Saccharomyces cerevisiae S288C: one gene and its partners. The gene in region 1 interacts genetically with each later gene. Each region holds a gene or a part of one and is shown on either strand. Other genes may lie near its edges.

What was found.
Region 2: of PCT1 (region 1) and SEI1, changing one suppresses a phenotype caused by changing the other (phenotypic suppression), as found in Saccharomyces cerevisiae (one study listed by BioGRID).
Region 3: of PCT1 (region 1) and PLB1, changing one enhances a phenotype caused by changing the other (phenotypic enhancement), as found in Saccharomyces cerevisiae (one study listed by BioGRID).

The regions. Positions count from the first base shown.
Region 1 is NC_001139.9:902,933-906,475, forward strand, and holds PCT1 (choline-phosphate cytidylyltransferase), read right to left. Parts: upstream 1,817-3,543; coding exon 542-1,816; downstream 1-541. Other genes in the region: YGR201C (uncharacterized protein), read right to left, coding at 1-265; phosphatase YCH1, read left to right, coding at 2,305-2,751; trifunctional formate-tetrahydrofolate ligase/methenyltetrahydrofolate cyclohydrolase/methylenetetrahydrofolate dehydrogenase ADE3, read left to right, coding at 3,002-3,543. UniProt on the Saccharomyces cerevisiae protein: Catalyzes the key rate-limiting step in the CDP-choline pathway for phosphatidylcholine biosynthesis.
Region 2 is NC_001144.5:926,715-930,230, reverse strand, and holds SEI1 (seipin), read right to left. Parts: upstream 1,489-3,516; coding exon 631-1,488; downstream 1-630. Other genes in the region: DUS4 (tRNA dihydrouridine synthase), read right to left, coding at 1-442; zinc-coordinating transcription factor SFP1, read right to left, coding at 2,612-3,516. UniProt on the Saccharomyces cerevisiae protein: Involved in lipid metabolism and lipid droplet (LD) morphology, number, and size. Facilitates initiation of LD formation, and ensures that vectorial budding of LDs from the ER is directed towards the cytoplasm.
Region 3 is NC_001145.3:280,827-284,584, forward strand, and holds the start of PLB1 (lysophospholipase), read right to left. Parts: upstream 1,759-3,758; coding exon 1-1,758. Other genes in the region: YMR008C-A (uncharacterized protein), read right to left, coding at 2,255-2,722; ADI1 (acireductone dioxygenase (Ni2+-requiring)), read left to right, coding at 3,276-3,758. UniProt on the Saccharomyces cerevisiae protein: Sequentially removes both fatty acyl groups from diacylglycerophospholipids and therefore has both phospholipase B and lysophospholipase activities. It also displays transacylase activity.

The DNA of each region.
Region 1 (3,543 bases):
ACAACTGGCGCACAGCTTCCTTGTCGCTCGACAGATGGATCAAGTAGTAGTCAATAGCCATTGCCTCTGTAAGCGTCCACTCGTCATGCGGTCCAACAAAAGTTGGGTACTTACGCAAGGGAAACTCCCTTTCGTAAAGTTGCTGAGCGTCACTTGGATCAGCAAGCTTAACGTCCAGCTTCAAGGAACGCACTAAACCTCTTGGCACAATGGTCCTAATCAACTTTCTCTCCTTCAAATCAGTAAACAGTGTTCCGTCAGACATTTGTAGTTTTCTACACAAAGATGCCGAAATCAATGATGAGCAAGTATCGAGTTCGCTTCGCACTGCTACATCTAGGCTTTTATAAGGGGTGGTATCGTTTAAAGGTGCGGCTATTAAAAGGGATGAATACGTGGGAAACGGTTGCATTACAGGAAAAACAGCTTTTTATCTTATTATATCTTTAAATATGTACATACGCTTGTTTATACGTGGAGGCGACAAAAAGGGTTGGTTGAAGGGAGAGAGAAAGAGACGCACAGAGATTGGAGGAGGGGCTCAGTTCGCTGATTGTTTCTTCTTCTGTGTTAGGTTTTCCAAAGTTAACCTGTCGTTGTCGTCGTCATCTTCACTGGGAGGCGTTGAGTTAGTGTTTGAATCTGAATCTGAATTTGTATTCGTGTTGTTAGAATTTGTGTCTTCATCATCTTCCTGACTGAAAAGATTTCCATTGTCATCCGGTGATTTAGCGGTAGAGTTTTCGCCCGTAAATTCGTTGGCAAACTCTGTAGCCGGAGAGGCCTCCCTGATTAGCTTCCTAGTAAACGGATCATCCAAAAAATTCTGTTTTCTTTGTCGTTGATTTTGTTTCTTTAATTCATTGCCTATTAACTTGGAGTAGAGTTTTTTGCCCAACGTTTTCTTTAGCAAGATTTCACGGACTTCGAAGTACAAGTCTCTGGAGGCGTTATTCAAATTTGTCTGGTTTTTCTTGAAATATGACCTGAATTCATTGATGTGTTTTTTGAACTCCAGTTCGTTTTTCTTCAACCAAGAAACGTTCAGCTCCTGTCTGGTAGCACCCCTTGCAAAGTTTCTCATCAAATATTTGTCATAATCTCTGATGATCTTTGTGATAATATCACTTGTAGAGACACCATTGGTTCTTTGGGTAGTCAAGAATTTTCCCATCTCCTTTATTGGCTTGTAGATATCGTCGCTGTCGGCGCTAACGTAAGGAATATCGTCATGTGCCACGTAGTCAATCTTGTGTTCTAGTAGAAATTCTGGGGTGACACACCAGGGAGCGTTGGGCACGACTTCGTCAACCCATCTGCAGTGCGTTAAAGTTTCACAACGCTGCTTATCGGTCAGCACAGTCAAACCTTTTAGTTTGTGAGTGATTTTGTCGCTAGGCACACCAACTATCAGTGTTACATTGGGGAAAGCCTTCTTACACTGTTCCAGTTGCTTCATGTGGCCAAGATGGAAAAGATCAAAAACACCATCTGCATATATCCTGATGGGTCTATCCGTTGGAGGCAAATTGAATCTGAAACCTTTAGGACGATACTTGCGCAGTTCCTTGGGCAACTCGTTGGTGTAACGAGCCTCCTTCTCTTCAAACTCCTTCGTCAACCGGCGACGCTTGCGGGGAGTGAGCTGTGTGTCCTTATTTTCATCCTGGTTCTTACTCTCATCCTTATCCTCATTGTCCTGCTCTTCCGTTTCCTCACGCTGTCTTTTATTTTTATTTTTTTTAAATAGGTTTGATAGCGATGAGTTAGAAAGCTTAGCCCTAATCGAGGACTTCCCTGTTGTTGGGTTTGCCATTTTTCTTTGTGTCTGCTGTGCTTTGTACTACCAAGAGAGAATAGCAAGAGTGAAATTTGAAAGTTAAACAATACAATAAAGAAAAGTGACTGGCGTATGCAAGAAAGGGGAATGGGTATAAAAAATACAAGAACGGCAGAAAAAATAAAAGAAACAGGAGAAACAAACAATGGTAACTGTACTAAAACCAATACCAGATATATATTTCATACTTATTAAAAAGCGTTAAGAAACGAAGCGTAAAAACGTAAGAAAAAGAATGACTATATAACGGTAGGTCTTCGACTCATTTTTTTCTTCCTACATGCAAACGACAAATACGGGTAATGCACATTTCGCTTATTGGGTTCTTCCCTTTCCTTTTTTCCATTTTTTTCTTTCTGGCTGTCGCTAGCCTTTCTACTTCCTCCGCACATACAGTTTTCAGCACAGTATAGATAGCTGTGCAGCCAGATAGAAGCAAAAGAGAAGTCAATTGCAAAAAAAATATGGACTCGTACTCAATAACAAACGTAAAATACCTGGATCCGACTGAATTGCATCGTTGGATGCAAGAAGGACACACTACTACGCTGAGGGAGCCTTTCCAGGTAGTGGATGTGCGAGGCTCAGATTATATGGGGGGCCATATCAAGGACGGATGGCACTACGCCTATTCGCGCCTTAAGCAGGATCCGGAGTACTTACGTGAGCTAAAGCACAGATTGTTGGAAAAGCAAGCGGACGGCCGCGGAGCGCTGAACGTGATTTTCCATTGTATGTTATCGCAGCAGCGCGGACCGTCTGCAGCGATGCTGCTGCTTCGGTCGCTTGACACGGCGGAACTTTCTCGCTGTCGTCTATGGGTGTTGCGTGGGGGGTTCTCGCGCTGGCAATCCGTATACGGTGACGACGAGAGCGTTACGGCGGGTTACCTACCCGATCTGTGGCGTTGACAGGTTTACACAATCGCACGTGATCATATATTTGCCATGACTCCTCCCAGTGACAATTTTGTTCTTTTTTCCTCTTTATCGCTTTCGTACTATGGTCAGTCATTCATTCATTATATACGCGCTCTCCATAACCCGTAACTTTTTATTATATATAGACTCGTTTACAATACAACGATAGCGATACCATTCAATTGAAGTTGTGAGACCAGGTAACGAGACGAACACAACTTTACAAGTCAAATAAGAAATCATGGCTGGTCAAGTGTTGGACGGCAAAGCATGCGCTCAGCAGTTTAGAAGCAATATTGCTAATGAAATCAAAAGCATTCAAGGTCACGTGCCTGGGTTTGCACCTAACCTTGCCATCATTCAAGTAGGCAACAGACCAGACTCAGCCACATATGTACGCATGAAGCGTAAGGCAGCTGAAGAGGCCGGCATTGTTGCTAATTTCATTCATTTAGATGAATCCGCTACTGAATTTGAAGTTCTGCGTTACGTGGACCAGCTGAATGAGGACCCACATACACACGGTATTATCGTGCAACTACCATTACCCGCTCATTTGGACGAGGATAGAATCACCTCGAGAGTGTTGGCAGAAAAGGACGTGGACGGGTTCGGGCCCACCAACATTGGCGAATTGAATAAGAAGAACGGACACCCATTCTTTTTGCCCTGCACGCCCAAGGGGATCATTGAGCTGCTTCACAAGGCCAACGTCACGATTGAAGGTTCCCGGTCCGTTGTGATCGGAAGATCTGACATTGTTGGCTCTCCTGTTGCAGAATT
Region 2 (3,516 bases), on another chromosome or scaffold:
AATCTGAATTGTATATCAGAGCGCAACCTATGCCCTCTCGGATTTGTTCCTTTATAGGACAACCACAGTTAATACCAATACCATCACAGTATGGGGCAACCATTTCCACAAATTTTAGTAAATCAGCCACGTTATTTACACCTACTTGGACGATTAGCGGGGTGTCCTCATTATTTGTAGAAAGGTCTGAGATTCTTGCATGCTCATTACGGACATATTCTCTTGCCAAAATCATGGGGGAGTAAACTATATCAACGTTATATTCTCGGCACAACTGACGGAATGGTAACTTGGAATACCGAACCATTGGGCCTGCAATGGTCACGGGCCGACCATGTGTCTTTTGCCTCGTCTTTATTATATGCAGTGGATCTGTTTCTTCAGTAATAAGCTTCGGCTTCGGTATCAGAACATCACCGGATGGAATATGCATTGTGTGCATTTTCTTTAGAATCTTTATTCTGCATATGAATTATAACTTTGAAGAATCCATCTCTTATTTTCATTTTGAGTTTTTTCGCTGATCATCTTTTTTTTATTCAGGGCGAAGAAGCAGAATGCTGGAAGAGCCTACTTACTTAGAAAATAACAGCTAGGTTTTAAAATTATATAGCGAGAAGTACAATTCTATCAGCTATGTTTCTTGGATTTTTCCTGACCCTTTCTAACAAAAATGAATGCAGTGCAACCTGTGATAAAAAAAAGTACACATATTATGCAATGGAAAATTGAAATGCCAATAATATAAGATAAAAATCTTTTTCGAAGCATCAAGTTTCTTAATCCCTGCTCAAAATTCATCCTAAACTTAATCCCACTTTCTGGATGTATTATTAGATTTCTTTGGGCAATCTCCGTTTTCAAGAACACCGAGATTGTTTCATATGAAGACTCTAACGATATTTTGTCCTCTATTCTTATTGTATTTAGCCATTCTTCATCGTAAACGTCTAGACGTGATGGGCCTAGTTGTTCGATCTCCTGAGGCGACATGGAATCCGTCAGTGCGAGGCAGACAATAGGTCTAGAAGTGTGAAAGATTTTTTCATCTTTGCTGTTACTTCCTCCAGGAGCACCCAATAGCGGGCCTGGACCTCTGTAAACATCAATTAACAAATTGTCTAAATTTAAATGGTCAGTTTTGCTCTGGCAATAAAGCTGTAGGTTTAGATCGAGCTTGTATTCCATGTTGTCACGCATGGGGATTAACTGTGATAAGCCATTGTCTATTGTTTGCGGCAGATCTGTACCTACCGGAATGCTTTTAATAGATTGGAAGAATTTTGTACCAAATTGTACGCCATTTAAAATGTTGAACGTATTAAGGGGGACTACGTTAGAGGAATCGGCAGGTAATAGTCTTAGGTAAAAATCGTGATATATTAAGATCGATAAAGGAAGAATGATTAGCAATTGTATCAGAAATGCAACAACAATATATGAACTCCATTGTAAAAACTGTAATGGACGGGATACATTGATTTTCATCCTTCCTATTCACTTTATCTTATTTTCTTGAAACCTTGGATTCACATTTTGATAATTTGCCGTAAGCTGTCTCTATTTTTCTGTCTTACGCGCATTTATATTTTTAATAACCTTACGTTGAGATTTTCAAATTATACACATAGTAGCAACTAATGATGAGGTAGTTATACTTAACTTTCAAAAGAGCGACTCTAGTATTAGATGAACAATTAGGTTGCTTTATATGGATGACGAAAAGTCTTATTTACAAAATAACTCTCAATAAATGTTTCTTGACCATATGGCTTGGTGTTGTCAACTTTCTAGATAATACTTATCAGCGTGATTGGATTGTAGGTTTGGGAGGAAGGTTGCTTTTTAAGTTACTTATAGTATATTATTATTGATATTGAATTAATTTACTTTCATAAGTGTATAAAATAAAAGTTCAACATTACTAACAAAACTATAATATTTTCTCAACCAATTATTAACCTGTGATAGTTGCGCTGTAATTCCAGTCTAATTAATATGCTTCGTAAGATTAATTGTAATATTTAAGTAATCTTTTAATGGTTCAATAAGATAGTTTCTGCCTAGAAAAACGATCCGACAACGTGCATGGTAATTCACTTACAAATACACAGAATTGCAGATAAAAAACGGAACCTTTTATTTAAGATTTAGAGCATGAATAAGAAGAATTAAAGTTTCTTTTCTTAGAATAAAAATAGTTTTTAATACATCAGAACAGAAGGAAGTAAGTAAAGCCAAAATATATATAGTAAAAACACAGTAGTAAAAAATGAATAGTAAAAAACACACAACAATAATACTAAAAGGAGAGACCAGACAGAGCGCAAATCGTTTTCATGACGGAGTATTTAGAGGAAATGATGACAAAACAAGAAAATGTTATTCTATTATAAGTTCATTTTTCAATAATAGATATGCTTTTTATTTTTTGAAATTAATGGTAACAGTCGAAGAGCACAGCTTTATCATGCATTTTCGTTCAAAGATGATCACATAAATTGCGCCCAACAACAAGAGAAAGAGCGGCCGCTCGATGCATGAGTCGGTAACGGTAGAATTAGTATCTAAATAGCATACTAAATCAATTCAGTAAAGAAACAATTATATCTTAGTGAGTGGAGTGGCCCCTGTGATATTTTAAACCGTTCAAGTTCTTATATCTCTTACCACAAACTTCACAACGGTATGGTTTATCCTTTGCAGAGCCCATTCCATCACCAAAAGAATCTGTCGAATCTGGATCTATTACGCTAAATGTACCGTCAGGGTTTTCATGTAATTTTTGATTCTGATGTCCGTGCAACCTATGGTACTTCAAACCGTTTTGGTTTTTATAAGTCTTTTCACAACCAATAACTGGACACTTAAAGGGTTTTTGTTCCTCATGATCCATTACATAGAGCCTTCTCGCAGGATCGTCTATATAAGCTTGCTGAGGCATCTTGTAATTGTTGTTATGAACTGATTTTCCATTGGAACTGGAGCCATTTTCTGTGTCATCGTCATCGTCATCGTCATCGTCATCATCAACATCATCGTCATCATCAATGTCATCAATGTCTTGATCCTCGACCATGTTTTGAGAAGATTTTGCGTGTACGGAAGAATGAAAAGTATTGTAGTTGTGAGAACCTGTAGTTGGATTTACGACAGAGTTCATGGAATTGTGGTTACTAGGGCCCAAAATATCATCATCCATAAAACTTAAATCTATATCTTGGACAAGTACCAGAGGTGATAAATCGGTTTGATGAGGATCAATTTTTCTTGATTGATGTTGAATAGGATTCCTGGACGTTTTGTTCAAGGAATAGTTATTAAAAGTATGTGGACGATTCACCATGGCGTTTTTACTACCCATGTTAATATTAGAATTGTGTGAGGTATTATTATTGATATTGATACCACTATTATTGTTACTGTTAATTTGTTTATTGTGCGGAACGTGTCTTGATGGAGAATTGCTCGTTCTTAAAAACACATCATTCGTTGAAACGGCATCGACTAGATTAC
Region 3 (3,758 bases), on another chromosome or scaffold:
GTCAATAGTACCGTTCCAGCAGTAGTTGGTAAAACACTGGCTGCATTCAGAGGGCAATGTAGCATTCAAGTTTTGTTGCTTACGTCTGATAATGGCGCAACCAACACAGCCCAAGAAATCAGAATCATCAGTAAAATTACCCATTGTGGCAGCTTCAAACCCATTCTTAATCATACCAAGACGTTCTGAATCGGAGTATGACATCTTAAAAGTACTTTGGTTACCATTAAATGAATGTCTTGAATTTGGAATGTAAACAATTAATGGTGGAATGTACTCCAAGTCTGTCAAATTTCTTGCATCACAACCAAAAAAGGTTGGCTTTTTGTTCAACCCCAAGTTGACAAATGTGTTCACATCTGGAACATATGGGAAAGACAAATTGAGACCTTGGCTGCCAAATTGACGCTGATAAGTGTTAACTAATGAAGCACCATCTGGCCAATAGTCGTCAGTATCAGCAGAATTGTCTAATGCAAAAATAACATCTAGTTCACGTTCCTTTTGCAACAATGGAACTAAAGGAATATTTTGGTTATCTTCACCACCATCAACCAAAAATAGATATTCTGATTCGATAATACTGGAGGTTGCGTTCTTTTGAAGAAAATTAGCTTCCTTGAATGGATTTGGGGCGTAAATTGCAATATCGTCACTATTGTCGGATAAATCTTCCAGGAAATCGGTGGCTAAGTTAGCAATAAATGAAGGTAAATCGGTAGAATTCAATCTTAGTAAAAATTGGTTAAACAACGTAGATGAAGTGGCTGTTATGAAACCAGTGTTATCAAACCCGGCAATGCATTGGCCTTTATTAACTGGTTTACCGTTTGTAACGTTGGTACCTAAATACTTCACATCCGTAAATGCGTTCAAAGTGGGGTCCCATGAACCCATTTCAAAGGGATTAAATTCGAAAAGAGTGGCATTCAAGTTTATCACGGTGGTACCTGGGTATCTACCGTCTGCAACAGTGATAGGGAAGGGCATTTCTCCATTCTTGAAGACATCAGCTTCCCTTAAAGTTGACCATGTGTACCCTACACCACCACGGTGTAAGCTTGGCCAAAAATTGTACGCAAGAGCACGGCCCCAAACATCCGCCAAAGAGATGTTGAAACCGGCGTCTTTTTTATCCTGAACGTCATCTGATATGTCGTCCCATCTACTCCCAGTCTTAAAGATGTTAATGCCGTCTGGGGTAAGAATTGAATGAGAGATGTCCCAAATTGAGTTAGATTCTGTTGTATTATCCACGATAGCTTGCACAGACGTCCAGTTGTTCCAAGCCAAAGTACTTGTTAACCAGTTACCACCCGACAGACCTGCCAAGTAAGTTGCACCTTGCAGCAGCCCACCAAGACCATGCTCATTTGCGCCATCAGTACGATTGTCCATAGCAGCAAGCATACCAGCACCAGACAACATGGCACGGTAACCACCACCAGAACAGGCGACGGCAATCTTAGGCATATTGGAAGAGTTGCTACCAAAAAGAGTGGATAGCAAGGAAGTGTCACTGAAATTCGAAGTGGCCCTATTCAAAAAAGAATGCAAAGCCTCCTTGGTGTATGCATCTCTTTTTTTCAGCCATTCTGTTTCGTTATCTGACAAACCAGATGCTTCTCTGACTAAGTTAATATCATCATCACAGGTTACGTTCGCAGGGACGTAACTGTTATTTGGTGACCAAGCGTTAACGTTCTCTGTTAGAGAAGTCAAAACTGCAGCAGAAACCAACAAACTCTGCAACTTCATGGTTTTGTTTTATTTTCTTTCCCGTTTGCCCTTAGGATGGATAGCTTCGTGTAATTTACGTTATATGAACGAAAAAAGAGAGAAATGTTAAGAAAAGAACGAAGAATTGATTAGTTAGTATAACCTAATAAATGTAGAACCTTACAGCGAAGAGACGTTTCCGTTGGTTAAATGTGGTGGAAGCGTCTTTATATATTAGATGATGTAGTTTACCTAAGCAGTTAGAAGAAAATAAAGTAACCAAGTCATCTTCTAAGCAAAAATAGGAGACGTAAATGAATGTTGCTTAACTGAGAAAAATATGCGGGAATAAGCGGACATGTTACTGTATGAGGTTATTTCCCTTTATAGATAAGGGCGTAAACCGCATATAATGAGGAAAGGCGAAGTTAGAAACGGACTTTTTAGGTCGCTTTGAAGAAGTCCGTGCAGGAAACCCATGCGTCCACTTATTTTAGCACTATGTGGCATGAGAAAGCTTTGGAAGGAATAAACGTTAGGACCCCACTGCGCCGCTTTTACGCAGGGCAATTTCGGGGACAAAGGGGGCTGAAGGAATACAATTCCGATCCAAGGCAACAAGTAGGTCAGAACCCTTTATTAACCTGCGCTTGTTAGTGGCTTCCTTTGTACTCTGTCCGTAATCCAGCATAGCGCTGAATTGCTGAAAGATATGGGTAGCGGTCAGATGAGAAGGGCAATCGTCAGGACTTCTGTTGAAAAGCGGACTAAACATAGGCATTATCATTCTTAGAGTTTTACGAGCAAATAGAATCGAGTGACTTCCGTCGTTGCTAACAGGCGCAGTAATAATAACCGCGGACGAAAGCCACGCAGGCAAAGAATGCTTTCGCTGAAATATCGGAGTCTTGCTATTGTTCAGGGCTTTGCCGGTGCGTAAATAATAGGCTGAAGCGAATTTGATTTCCCGCACAAAAAATTTTTGCTCGAGTAAGTCATACATATATCTTGCATGCGTAAAAAAAATTGCAATTGCTGAAGATTGAACGACCGCCCACCGGTATTTTCATCTCTTCTAGATCAAGACTAACTGCTCGTTCAGTACAAGTATTTTACGATAGTCCATATTACTCTTCAATTAATATTTTTTTTTTATATTCTGGCCCGTTTTTGACACAATTTTTTCCTTCTCTTTTTCTCCCTATAAACTATGCAGAAGTAGCGATAATCACGATCTTGTTAATGATTCACATGTGCGCAAGTCGTATTGTCTGTCTAGATAGTGAGATGCCTTCTAAATAACAGGAGAGAGGCAAGATAGCATAACGGCGCAATGAAGGTAATTTCTGCCAGTTTTCTTTGCATTGACGACTGAAAGGGCCCTTGTAAGAGCCGCTCGACAGGGCGACGCCACAGTAGAGTCGCTAACACCGAAATATGCATATTGAAAAACATCAAAGTATAAAAGAACAAAGAGGGTGGCATCTGCAGATCAAAAAAAACAATAACCACCAAACAAGACACTAAAAAAGGTCGTAAAAAGGTCAAAAGTTAGAATGGTTAAGGTATATATTCATGACAACAAGGTTGACTCCGATTATCGCGCACCCCACAATTCTGGAACAGAACTTTCCCTGGATGAATTAGCCAAGTTAGGAGTGATTTATAAATACTGTGCAAATGAGGAAGAAGTGAATGAAATTGCTAGGCAAAGAGAATATAAAAATAGAGATGTGGTCAACATCTGCGAAGGTTCCTTCAAAAGTGAAGCAGAGTTTAATGAAAAACTAGCAACATTCTACCAAGAGCATTTACATGAAGACGAAGAAATAAGATACTGTCTCGAGGGTGCTGGATACTTTGACGTCAGGGATGCTTCCACACCAGAGAACTGGATTAGGTGTTTGGTAGAGTCAGGTGATTTACTGATTCTTCCACCAGGCATCTATCATCGTTTCACCTTGACAACTAGCAACCACATCAAGGCCTTGAGACTGTTTAAGGACGAGCCCAAATGGCAAGCTATCAACAGGTCAAAT